2 linked regions of the Arabidopsis thaliana genome follow. The protein of the gene in region 1 interacts with the protein of each later gene in a pairwise test. Each region holds a gene or a part of one and is shown on either strand. Other genes may lie near its edges. The genes, in order: CSLC5 and PDLP3.

What was found.
Region 2: the proteins of CSLC5 (region 1) and PDLP3 interact in a protein complementation assay, tested with the Arabidopsis thaliana proteins (one large-scale study listed by BioGRID).

What each region holds. Positions count from the first base shown.
Region 1 is NC_003075.7:15,308,805-15,314,632, reverse strand, and holds CSLC5 (Cellulose-synthase-like C5), read left to right. Parts: upstream 1-1,645; 5' UTR 1,646-2,296; coding exon 2,297-3,016; intron 3,017-3,123; coding exon 3,124-3,432; intron 3,433-3,520; coding exon 3,521-3,811; intron 3,812-3,894; coding exon 3,895-4,008; intron 4,009-4,099; coding exon 4,100-4,744; 3' UTR 4,745-5,127; downstream 5,128-5,828.
Region 2 is NC_003071.7:14,122,032-14,127,197, reverse strand, and holds PDLP3 (plasmodesmata-located protein 3), read left to right. Parts: upstream 1-1,671; 5' UTR 1,672-2,169; coding exon 2,170-2,596; intron 2,597-2,846; coding exon 2,847-3,218; intron 3,219-3,608; coding exon 3,609-3,716; intron 3,717-4,009; coding exon 4,010-4,017; 3' UTR 4,018-4,392; downstream 4,393-5,166. Other genes in the region: MAC3B (MOS4-associated complex 3B), read left to right, coding at 1-50, 152-203, 331-401, 478-614. UniProt on the Arabidopsis thaliana protein: Modulates cell-to-cell trafficking.

The sequences.
Region 1 (5,828 bases):
ATACGAAAGGCTATAGCATTTATAGAGTTCATTTTCTTGGCGTGAAATTAGTAGTACATTCATTTATTCCATGATTTTGCTCAGAATATTCAAATTTATAAAAGAAATGGACATTACTTTGGAAGAGTTGAAAAACTTATAAAACAAAAAACATAACAATAGAAAACTTTAATCGATTAAATGAATTATTGAATGATTGTATCCACTAATTACAATTATTGAAATAAATATGTATAAAGTAGAGGGTGTAAAGCACTGTATGAAAAGATTATGATAACATAGTTCAAAGAATATCATTATGAGTCATAACTAATAATCATTCACCAATACACAATCGATCATCTTAATATATACATGATTAATTTGGATTCATTTTAAAGCACACTTAAAAATATATCATGTCCAATAATTTGTGAATTATTATTTCATCAGAATTGTCATAGTTATCTAACCATTTGTGTTTAGGGCAGAACTGTGTCTGAGGCTAAATTCATTAAAAAATGTCACTAAATTCTGCAGTTTTTGTTTTTTTCCATCTATGACGTTATATAATAGCTAGCCAGTAATTATTAAAACCGTATAGAATATATTCTTGAGTCTAACTTTAATCTACATGACAAATTTTTAATTACTCAGCACCGATTGGTTTCTGTAGATGCATGTCACAAGCAACACAAAATAAAAAAAGGTATTACAAAAAAATAGTACTAACCTACAAAATTACTTATTTATAATTCTTTTGATCTTTCTCCTTTTAGCTTTTCCTTTTCTCTTATTAGTGTTTATATGATACTTTCGTAAAACGTTAGGTATTGTATAGTAAATAAAACCTTAAAAATGCCAACGAATATCCTTATCTTCTAGTGTTCTACATGTGTTGATATCACCACCGACAAGTATCTCGGGTAACCTAATTGTTGGTTGGAACTTTCAGAATTTTTAAAACTGAAAAATTGACATTATCCTTCTAATGAATCACATTCTTCTTTTTTTTGTCAAATACTTCCCTTTGTCAAAGGCATGCACCACTAAATTATCTTTTGTTTTACAAAATGACCAAAATTAGCGGCAATATTTTACGTCAACACTTGACCAATTTTGATTGTTAGAGAGCACTTTGTCAATAAACCAAAGTATAATGTTTCCCTCCTTACTCTCCTAATGTATAATATATATTTTGATTATAGAACTCATAGTTAATATTGAGTTGCATCCCTTTGTTTTAACAGTAAGGCTTTGACTTACGTTTGTGATTATACCAATTACCAAGTATGATCAACACTCAAGATTTTTTTTTGACAAGAATATAATAATGAAAATGCTTATGCTTTGAGTAAATTAATCAGGAAAACTTTTAACTCATGTTAATATAGTATTTTTAACAAATATGAATGGACTACAAAGAGAATTTGACTAAATGTATAAAATATATAATTTGGAAAAAACATGGAACATGACATGGGGAGCACGTAGGAGAAGCGGTGATAGCAAAATAGAGTGATTCACTTGAAACCGATTTGGTAGTATCTTTTCTTATAAACATGTTCCAATGTAACTAGTACATAGTTGGTCACAAATACAAATTTGAATTTGTCTTCACCTCAAATTGCCAAACAACCCATATGGTCCCCATCCATCAATGGATTTTCCTCAATTTTCTTTCTTTTGAATATATAACAAATTTGTTTTTTTTAAGAAAATACAAATATTTGTAATGAAGATCCATGACATGACAAGTGCTTGTGAAAGATTACAAAGAGTGATAATAAAAAGGGGATGAATTTTGCATGCTGAAGCAATCAAATAAGTAGCTGAAAGAGTAACACACACATGAAAGTGCAAGTGACACATCTTTTACAACTTCTCTCACTGATGATACCTTTCTTCCTCTTCCTCTGCCTTTGCTTCTCTCTCTGAGTCACTACACTCTCTCACCAACCCATCCTTCTCTCTGTCATTCTCTAAAAAAAGAGGTCCACTATAAATGAGCCTTGAGCTGTGGATGCTTCTTTGTCTGGTTTTTTAGAATATAATAAAAAACAAAATGGGTCTCTAGATTTCAGATTTCTGGGATCTGGGTGTTAGATTAATCTCTTTCTCTTCCATTATTAGTAGAGAAAGCTCACTCCTTTCACTCAAAGTTTCTACCTTTTTGTTTTCCTGAAAATGGGTTGTGTTTGAAATCTCACACTTTGAGATTTGGGTGTTTATTTTGGGATCCTTCTTACCACATTTAGAAATTTCAGCTAGGGTTTTCGATTTCTCTACTTCTCAGAGGAGATTTTAGAGGCAAAAGATGGCTCCAAGGTTGGATTTTTCAGATTGGTGGGCGAAAGACACGAGGAAAGGAACACCAGTTGTGGTGAAAATGGAGAATCCTAATTACTCTGTAGTTGAAATCGACGGTCCAGATTCGGCTTTTAGACCAGTGGAGAAGAGCAGAGGCAAGAACGCTAAGCAAGTCACTTGGGTTTTGCTTCTCAAAGCTCATAGAGCTGTTGGATGTCTCACTTGGCTCGCCACTGTCTTTTGGTCTCTCCTTGGTGCCATCAAGAAACGGCTTAGTTTCACTCACCCACTTGGCTCTGAGAAATTAGGCAGAGACAGATGGCTTTTCACTGCCATTAAGCTCTTCTTAGCTGTTTCCTTAGTGATTCTCGGCTTTGAGATTGTTGCTTATTTTAGAGGATGGCATTACTTTCAAAGCCCTAGTCTTCACATCCCCACTAGCACACTTGAGATCCAGAGCCTGTTTCATCTTGTGTATGTTGGTTGGTTAACCCTTAGAGCTGATTATATTGCTCCTCCCATCAAAGCTCTCTCCAAGTTTTGTATTGTGCTGTTCCTTATACAGTCAGTAGATCGTTTGGTACTTTGCTTGGGTTGTTTTTGGATCAAGTATAAGAAAATTAAGCCGAGATTTGATGAGGAACCTTTCCGTAATGATGATGCTGAGGGATCTGGATCTGAGTATCCAATGGTTCTTGTTCAGATTCCAATGTGCAATGAGAGAGAGGTATGCTCATTCAACTTTGGTATATCCAAGAAAGTATTCATCTTTCTCCTGCTTTATATAACCTTTTTGGTATCAGTGTAATGAGCTTTAGTCTTCTTCTTGTTCAGGTGTATGAACAATCTATATCTGCCGTGTGTCAACTTGACTGGCCGAAAGATCGAATACTGGTTCAGGTTCTCGATGATTCGAATGATGAAAGCATCCAACAGTTAATTAAAGCTGAGGTTGCCAAATGGAGCCAAAAGGGAGTCAACATAATCTACAGGCATCGCTTGGTTAGAACTGGATATAAAGCTGGTAACCTCAAATCAGCAATGAGCTGTGATTACGTTGAAGCATACGAGTATGTCGCAATCTTTGATGCCGATTTCCAGCCTACTCCGGATTTCCTTAAACTAACAGTTCCACATTTCAAGGTTGGTATTAACATTGGTTTCAATTTTCTATCATTGAAAAGTGGAGAGAGAGATTGCTAACATGTTAAAAATGTGATTTAATCTTCAGGATAACCCAGAGTTAGGTCTAGTTCAAGCTAGATGGACATTTGTGAACAAAGACGAGAACTTGTTGACCCGTCTTCAGAACATCAATCTGTGTTTTCACTTTGAGGTGGAGCAGCAAGTGAACGGCGTGTTCTTGAACTTCTTTGGTTTCAATGGAACAGCTGGAGTATGGAGAATCAAAGCCCTTGAGGAATCTGGTGGTTGGCTTGAAAGGACTACTGTGGAGGATATGGACATAGCAGTCCGCGCTCATCTTCATGGATGGAAGTTCATATATCTTAATGACGTCAAGGTACTACTTTTTATCGATTGTTTCTAAAAAAAGCCTTATTTATGTAACAAAATGAATTAAACTGGATAGAAACAAATCTATAGGTCCTTTGCGAAGTTCCTGAGTCCTACGAGGCATATAAGAAGCAGCAACACCGTTGGCATTCGGGACCTATGCAGCTTTTCCGCTTGTGTCTTGGTTCAATCTTGACCTCTAAGGTAGTGTGCAGCTTTTTTCTTCTTTTAGTTCAAATGTTTGCTAATCATCATGTTAATGACTTCTTCTGGTTCTCATTGGTTACTCTTGCAGATAGCGATATGGAAGAAGGCGAATCTGATACTTCTCTTCTTTCTTCTTAGGAAACTCATACTTCCTTTCTACTCCTTCACTTTGTTCTGCATAATCCTTCCACTCACCATGTTTGTTCCAGAAGCTGAGCTCCCTGTTTGGGTCATCTGCTACATACCAGTTTTCATGTCTTTCCTCAACCTTCTTCCATCTCCAAAATCGTTTCCTTTCATCGTTCCTTATCTCTTATTCGAGAACACAATGTCTGTCACCAAGTTCAATGCGATGGTGTCCGGATTATTCCAATTGGGTAGCTCTTACGAGTGGATTGTCACAAAGAAAGCTGGAAGATCATCAGAGTCAGATCTTTTATCTATCACCGAGAAAGAGACACCAACCAAGAAAAGTCAATTGCTTAGGGGAGTTTCCGACAGCGAACTTTTGGAGCTGAGCCAACTTGAAGAACAGAAACAAGCGGTTTCAAAGAAACCTGTCAAGAAAACCAACAAGATATACCACAAAGAGCTCGCATTGGCCTTTCTTTTGCTCACTGCAGCGCTTAGGAGTCTCTTGGCAGCACAAGGAGTGCATTTCTACTTCCTGTTATTCCAAGGTGTTACCTTTCTTCTTGTGGGTCTCGATCTCATAGGCGAGCAGATGAGCTGAGAAGAACAAAAGAAGATTCATAACTCGGGTCAATAAATCAGTGAGTTTGAATTTCCACTTCCTCTATGTTCAGTGGTATCCTCTGTAATGAGATTGTTGGAACCATAGTGGTAGGCATTAATTGATTTTCCGTTTCGTTTGTTTGTTTGTTATGTTGGTTTGATTCCTCCATTGTTAGGGATAGAGTGTGAGCCAGAGATTCATACATGTATACAATATCTGTAAAGTTGGAACATGTTGTTGGCAGTTAAAAGAGCTTCTGTCTTGAACTAATTTCAAGGATCATGTCAAATCACTGCAGAGAATTTATGTAATTTAAAGTCCAACCTTTGTGGAAAGAGATTGTAACTGTAAATAACTAACAAGAACCAGTTTTCTGACTAAACTGAAACAAGAGAAAGACCAATATTTATTGTATTCTCTGAGGATCTTAGGACATTCTCAACTTAGTGTCGGTGAAAAGTGAAGAAACGTGGAGCAAAAAAAGTGTCGGCAGAGGAAGTGGAATGAGGAGAAGCATAATTGCAGAAAAAAAGCAGAGGTCAGAGAGGTTTACGTCACATAACAATCAATTCAATGATGTGTAAGTGAAGAATGGGACCAAACAGATTTTAATTTGGTGGGTTTGTTGATGATTCTGGGACCGAACTAGGATCATGATCTTGTCTCTCTTGCTTTTCTAGGCTTTTAATTGTTGTCATGCCAAAACAACGTCTCCATGTCTACTTCGCAAGTATACTTTTATTTTTTCACTTAATTTGGGATTTATAGTTGCTGAAACGAAACCATAGCTAGTTGTTACGTGAATAAGAGCAAATCAGATTATGTATTCAATCTTCCTCTTAGGCAATTACTTTGCTTCACCTTCATAAAAGTGAACAATTTCACAACTATGCTTAAGTGAAATGAACACAAGTACCAAATGGTAGCAACTGATACGCATTTACAAATTCTTGACTTGCCTATATAAACCGTGAAATGCACAAAAATCTATCCAAGGACAAGAATGTGCATACTAAACACTATCACATAGCTACAATTATGCTAAACCTAATGCACAACATTCAGACCACACAAGAGGTGC
Region 2 (5,166 bases), on another chromosome or scaffold:
GCGCAAGTTAAGGAACTTCAAATCATTTTTATCTGCAGATGCGAACTCTGGTACACAACTATCGTATCTGTTTCTACTCATTTTGTTGATAGAGAACTTTCTATGTATTATAAGCTCGCTTTGATTAAACCTACTTTTTTTTTGTGTGCAGTGGAGTTTGATCCTAGCGGATCTTATCTCGGTATTGCTGCATCAGATATCAAGTGAGTACACATTTGAAAATAGTGATCAAAACATCCAAAGCTCAGCTAAAGAAAATATCCAAAGAGACCAAGCTAGCTTGATTAATCTGCACGTTGGGTTAACACAATTTATGTGTTTTGGCTGCAGAGTATACCAGACGGCAAGTGTGAAAGCTGAATGGAACCTTATCAAGACACTCCCAGATCTCTCCGGCACTGGTAAAGTCCCTTACCTAACTCCTTCAATGATCACATAGCGATAATGTTGCTAATTTCGAAGCCCTTACACTTGCAGGTAAAGCTACGTGTGTGAAGTTTGGTTCAGATGCACAGTACGTTGCAGTCGGTTCGATGGACCGTAACCTACGGATATTTGGTCTTCCTGGTGATGAAAAAGCCAACGTCGATGATGACTCTGCGCAAGACTCGTGAACAATCCGTAAAAAACTCAGACAGAACATTCCAAATGTCCATCTCCAGTGTTATCTCGCTCAAATTTCTCAAGTTCTGTTGTATCTTACAGTATTTGCAGCAATGGGGGAGAATTTCATAGGTGCGGGTCATGAGTGAGTGGTGATTGTGATCATCCTCGCTACCTCTTGGAATTCAAACAATGACACTCACAAACCCTCGAGTTTTCTTATAGGCTCTTTTAATCGCTTTGTACCTTCAATATATGTACCAAAAAATGTGTTCTTTCTGTTGCCAAATGAATTCAGACACTAATGAAGATCCCAAACCGATGGTGCTAAACCGCATTTGGTATTATTTAATCTGTTCTAGACAGTGGTGGTCTGCTTAGTATTCCGTATTCCAACAAATGATTTCAGCTGGTCTCTGAGAACAAAATTTTAACTAAATGTTAAAGAATACCCTTGACTGTACTTGGTCAAAAATCACTGGGCACAATATTTACATTTATCCACGAATATCAGATTCGTGATTCCTTTTGCAATTCCAGGATTAGTTTAACTTCACGCAAAAGATAATGTTTTGTAATACCCTTTCTTTATTGTGACCAGGATTGACAATTCGTGTTAAGGTATAACCACGTGTTTCCTCACAATTCTAAAGAATGCTTATGTTTCTCCCTGTCTATATTATTTTTTTAATTTTGTCTGAAAATACTAAAATAACTTGAACAAATCATCGTATAAAAACTACAAAATACATAAACTAAGCTTAAAGAAATACCTACACGATGAACTTTTTATATAGTAATTAGTAACAACTACAAAATACATAACCTTACTAGCTACTGGGAAAAAAATTGTCCAGTTTTAGATGATCAGAGTAAATATAATACTAATTGTCTTCCATTTTAATTATTGTCGAAAACGTGTTTTCATAAAGTAACTATTATTGGGTTTCATTACTAAATTCTAAACATCAAATGGAATTGAAACCAAAAGAGTAGTTATTCTAATTTTAAAAAGTTAGGTGTTGAATAAACAGTTTAAGTGAAATCTAATAATCAAAGACTGCAATACACACACCAAGCTCACTGTACTGTCTTTAGACTGGTCAGTGGTGGCTGAAGAAAGAAAAGAGTGTTTGATTGTTATATTAAAAAATAAAGAAAACAAATTACGCTCCCTTCTCTACAGACTCTCTCTATCCTAATCCTATTTCTTTTTCCACATCTCCTAAAGAAAGAGAAAAGAGTGGTCATCCATCCATCCACAGCCTCTTACAAAATCTCTCTCTTTCACCATTAACACCAAATTCAGAAAACTCAGAAGAAGCAAAATAAAGAGCTTTTACTGATCCACCAAACACAGAATTTCATAAACTCCCAAAAAAGTTAAATTCCAAACAAGCCCCACAACAACAACAACAACAAAAAAGATTTTAATCTTTCTCATTTACCCATATCCTCAAAATTCCCACAAAAATCTTTCCTCCAATAACATAACAAAACAACTCTTCTTCTACAACAAACTATGTTCTGATTTTTTAGTTTCTTCTTCCACACAATACAAAAGAAATGGGGTTTTATTCACTGAAGCAGCTTTTGTTACTTTACATCATCATCATGGCTCTGTTCTCAGATCTCAAGCTAGCAAAATCTTCTTCACCAGAGTACACGAACCTAATCTACAAAGGTTGTGCAAGACAGAGATTATCAGATCCATCTGGTTTATACTCACAAGCTCTCTCTGCAATGTATGGCTTATTGGTTACTCAATCAACGAAAACAAGATTCTACAAAACCACAACTGGAACAACAAGCCAAACAAGCGTCACTGGTCTTTTCCAGTGTAGAGGAGATTTAAGTAACAACGACTGTTACAACTGTGTTAGTCGTCTTCCTGTTCTCTCTGGTAAGCTCTGTGGCAAAACCATTGCTGCTAGAGTTCAGCTCTCCGGCTGTTATCTTCTCTATGAAATCTCTGGCTTTGCCCAAATTTCAGGTATTACTCTCCATTATTTGGTTTAATCTCAATTTCTTCGAAATTTTTTGTTTCTTGAACCGGAATTCGAGTTTCTGTGTGAACTTCAAGAACCCGGTTAAGAATCAGGTTTTGGTTTTAGATATAGGTTTAACCAAAGTTAGGATTCGACTAAACCAGAGAAACTTTTAACTATCGACCTAATTTCGGTTTTAACCATAAACCGAACCGAGATTGACTAATTTTAACTCCGGTTTAAAAATTTCTTTAGGAATGGAGTTGTTATTCAAGACATGTGGGAAGAACAACGTCGCCGGGACAGGATTCGAACAGAGAAGAGACACAGCTTTCGGGGTGATGCAAAACGGCGTCGTTCAAGGTCACGGCTTCTACGCAACGACATACGAATCGGTTTACGTTTTAGGACAATGCGAAGGCGATATAGGCGATTCAGATTGTAGCGGTTGCATAAAAAACGCGTTACAGAGAGCTCAAGTCGAATGTGGAAGCTCAATATCTGGTCAGATATATCTTCATAAGTGTTTTGTCGGTTATAGTTTCTACCCAAATGGTGTTCCCAAGAGATCTTCTCCTTATCCTAGCTCTGGCTCTTCGGGTTCTTCTTCTTCTTCATCTTCTTCAGGTGAAAATTTCTATTTCTTTTTATTTGTTTATTATTTTGGTGGAAAATTTCAATACCAACGTTCTAATATTTGCTGGAAAATCTTGAAAAGGTGTTCATTAAAAAGAAAATGATTCGATGTTGAAGTTAATAATTAATTTATTTGACTATCTTCACTTTAATTCAAAAGGTTTTCAGTGTGAAACTTGTTCTTTTGTTTTCAGGCTCCAATTGTGATTTTTGTTTCTTTTCATTTTGATGAATAAATATTGTTTTTTTCTTTTCAACATTATAGTTTGCTACGGTTTCGTAACAATTAATTCTTTAGAAAAGAGAGCGTAAAGTTTAGGAAATGTATTTTTAGGTATATTTTATTAGGATGATGAAATGGTTTTTGATGGAAAAAAACAGGAACAACAGGCAAAACGGTGGCAATAATAGTAGGAGGAACAGCTGGTGTTGGATTTCTTGTCATTTGCTTACTTTTCGTCAAAAACTTGATGAAGAAGAAATATGACGGTAATTACTTCCTCTCCACTTATATATACATACACGTAGACAACATTCATGCACGTATCACGTCTATAAGCATACATGCATATGTAACGTAATTCATACGAGTTGTCATTTTTGTATTGCCAAAATAATAGATTACTCAGTGTTTTTTATTAGAGATATTAATTATCCTTCTAATTTGAGCATATTGAAAATTAAGTGTGGAAGAGCTTGCATATAATAGACATACACATGCATATGTTGAGAAGAAGAATAAAGGCAAAAAAAATTGATTACTTATGTTTTTTTTTTGGCAGATTATTGAAAATAATTAGGATGAAGACAACAAAATGAGTCCCAACCCCGAAATGGAGGCAAGCGTTAATGTGAATTCCGAGGTGCATGCAATTAATTGTGTCCCGATTTTTATATTTTTCGAATTGTTAGTTTATTGAATACAGTATTTTTGAGAGGTGGAAATTGTGGTGGGATGGATGAAGAAGAGCTGGGACCATTTTAAAATGTTAGAAGATGGAGAAAGTACTTTCAATTTATTTTTAAAAATGTAAATGAATTATCTCATTTGAAGTTCCTTAAGTACTTATACTTGTCTTAATTTCATACCTTTTACAAGTTCCGTGAAGTCATTCTATTGGATGTTATGCTATAGTTTAACAATGGGTAACTCTTAAACAGAAATGAATTTATACTATGCTGTAGCATTTTACATTATTCTGTTCTGATAACGTTATACATTTTTGTTTTCGTATGTTTTAAATGATATTTTGTTTTTTCTAGACTGTTGAGTTGCTTTTTGAGTTTCTGTCGAGTTGTTTTTTTCTGCCAACTTGTTTTTGGTACTTTTTCTATCAAAATCTCGTTTGATAAGTAACTTTATTGGTATAACCTGGCAATTTTTATTTGTTTCTTGTAAAATGAGTAGGATTCCACCGCGTTTTGTATTATTGTGGGCAATTTGCATTATTTAAATGTTTTTTTTCGGCATTACTTAAATCTTATTTGTTCAGAAAATAATCGTGTGCATAATTTATATATTTGGAAATACGAAAGTCGAGTTATGTACTTCTCAATGTGTTGTTGTTTATGTATCTCGAGTGAAAGAAACTATGGTTAATTTTTTATACAACACTCATGCGATTTCATGGAGAAGTGTGATGCTTTTTATGATTTTGGGAATAGGGAACTTGATTGATACCTTTTGGGATCAAACATCAATACTCTCCGCACAAGTTTTGATGAATCTTGTAGTAATTGTTTTGGCATTTAATTGCATGATATGAGATGTGGTGCATAGGGTGGTCCATTTTTGTTACTTTTAAATTTTTAATAGAAGAACCAATATACAAGAATATTACGAATTTAGTATACAGCCATTCAGAGACCATTATCATTTATCAAAACGGAGAACAAAGGTTACGAAGCTCACACCATCACGAGAGAAAGAGAGAAATTA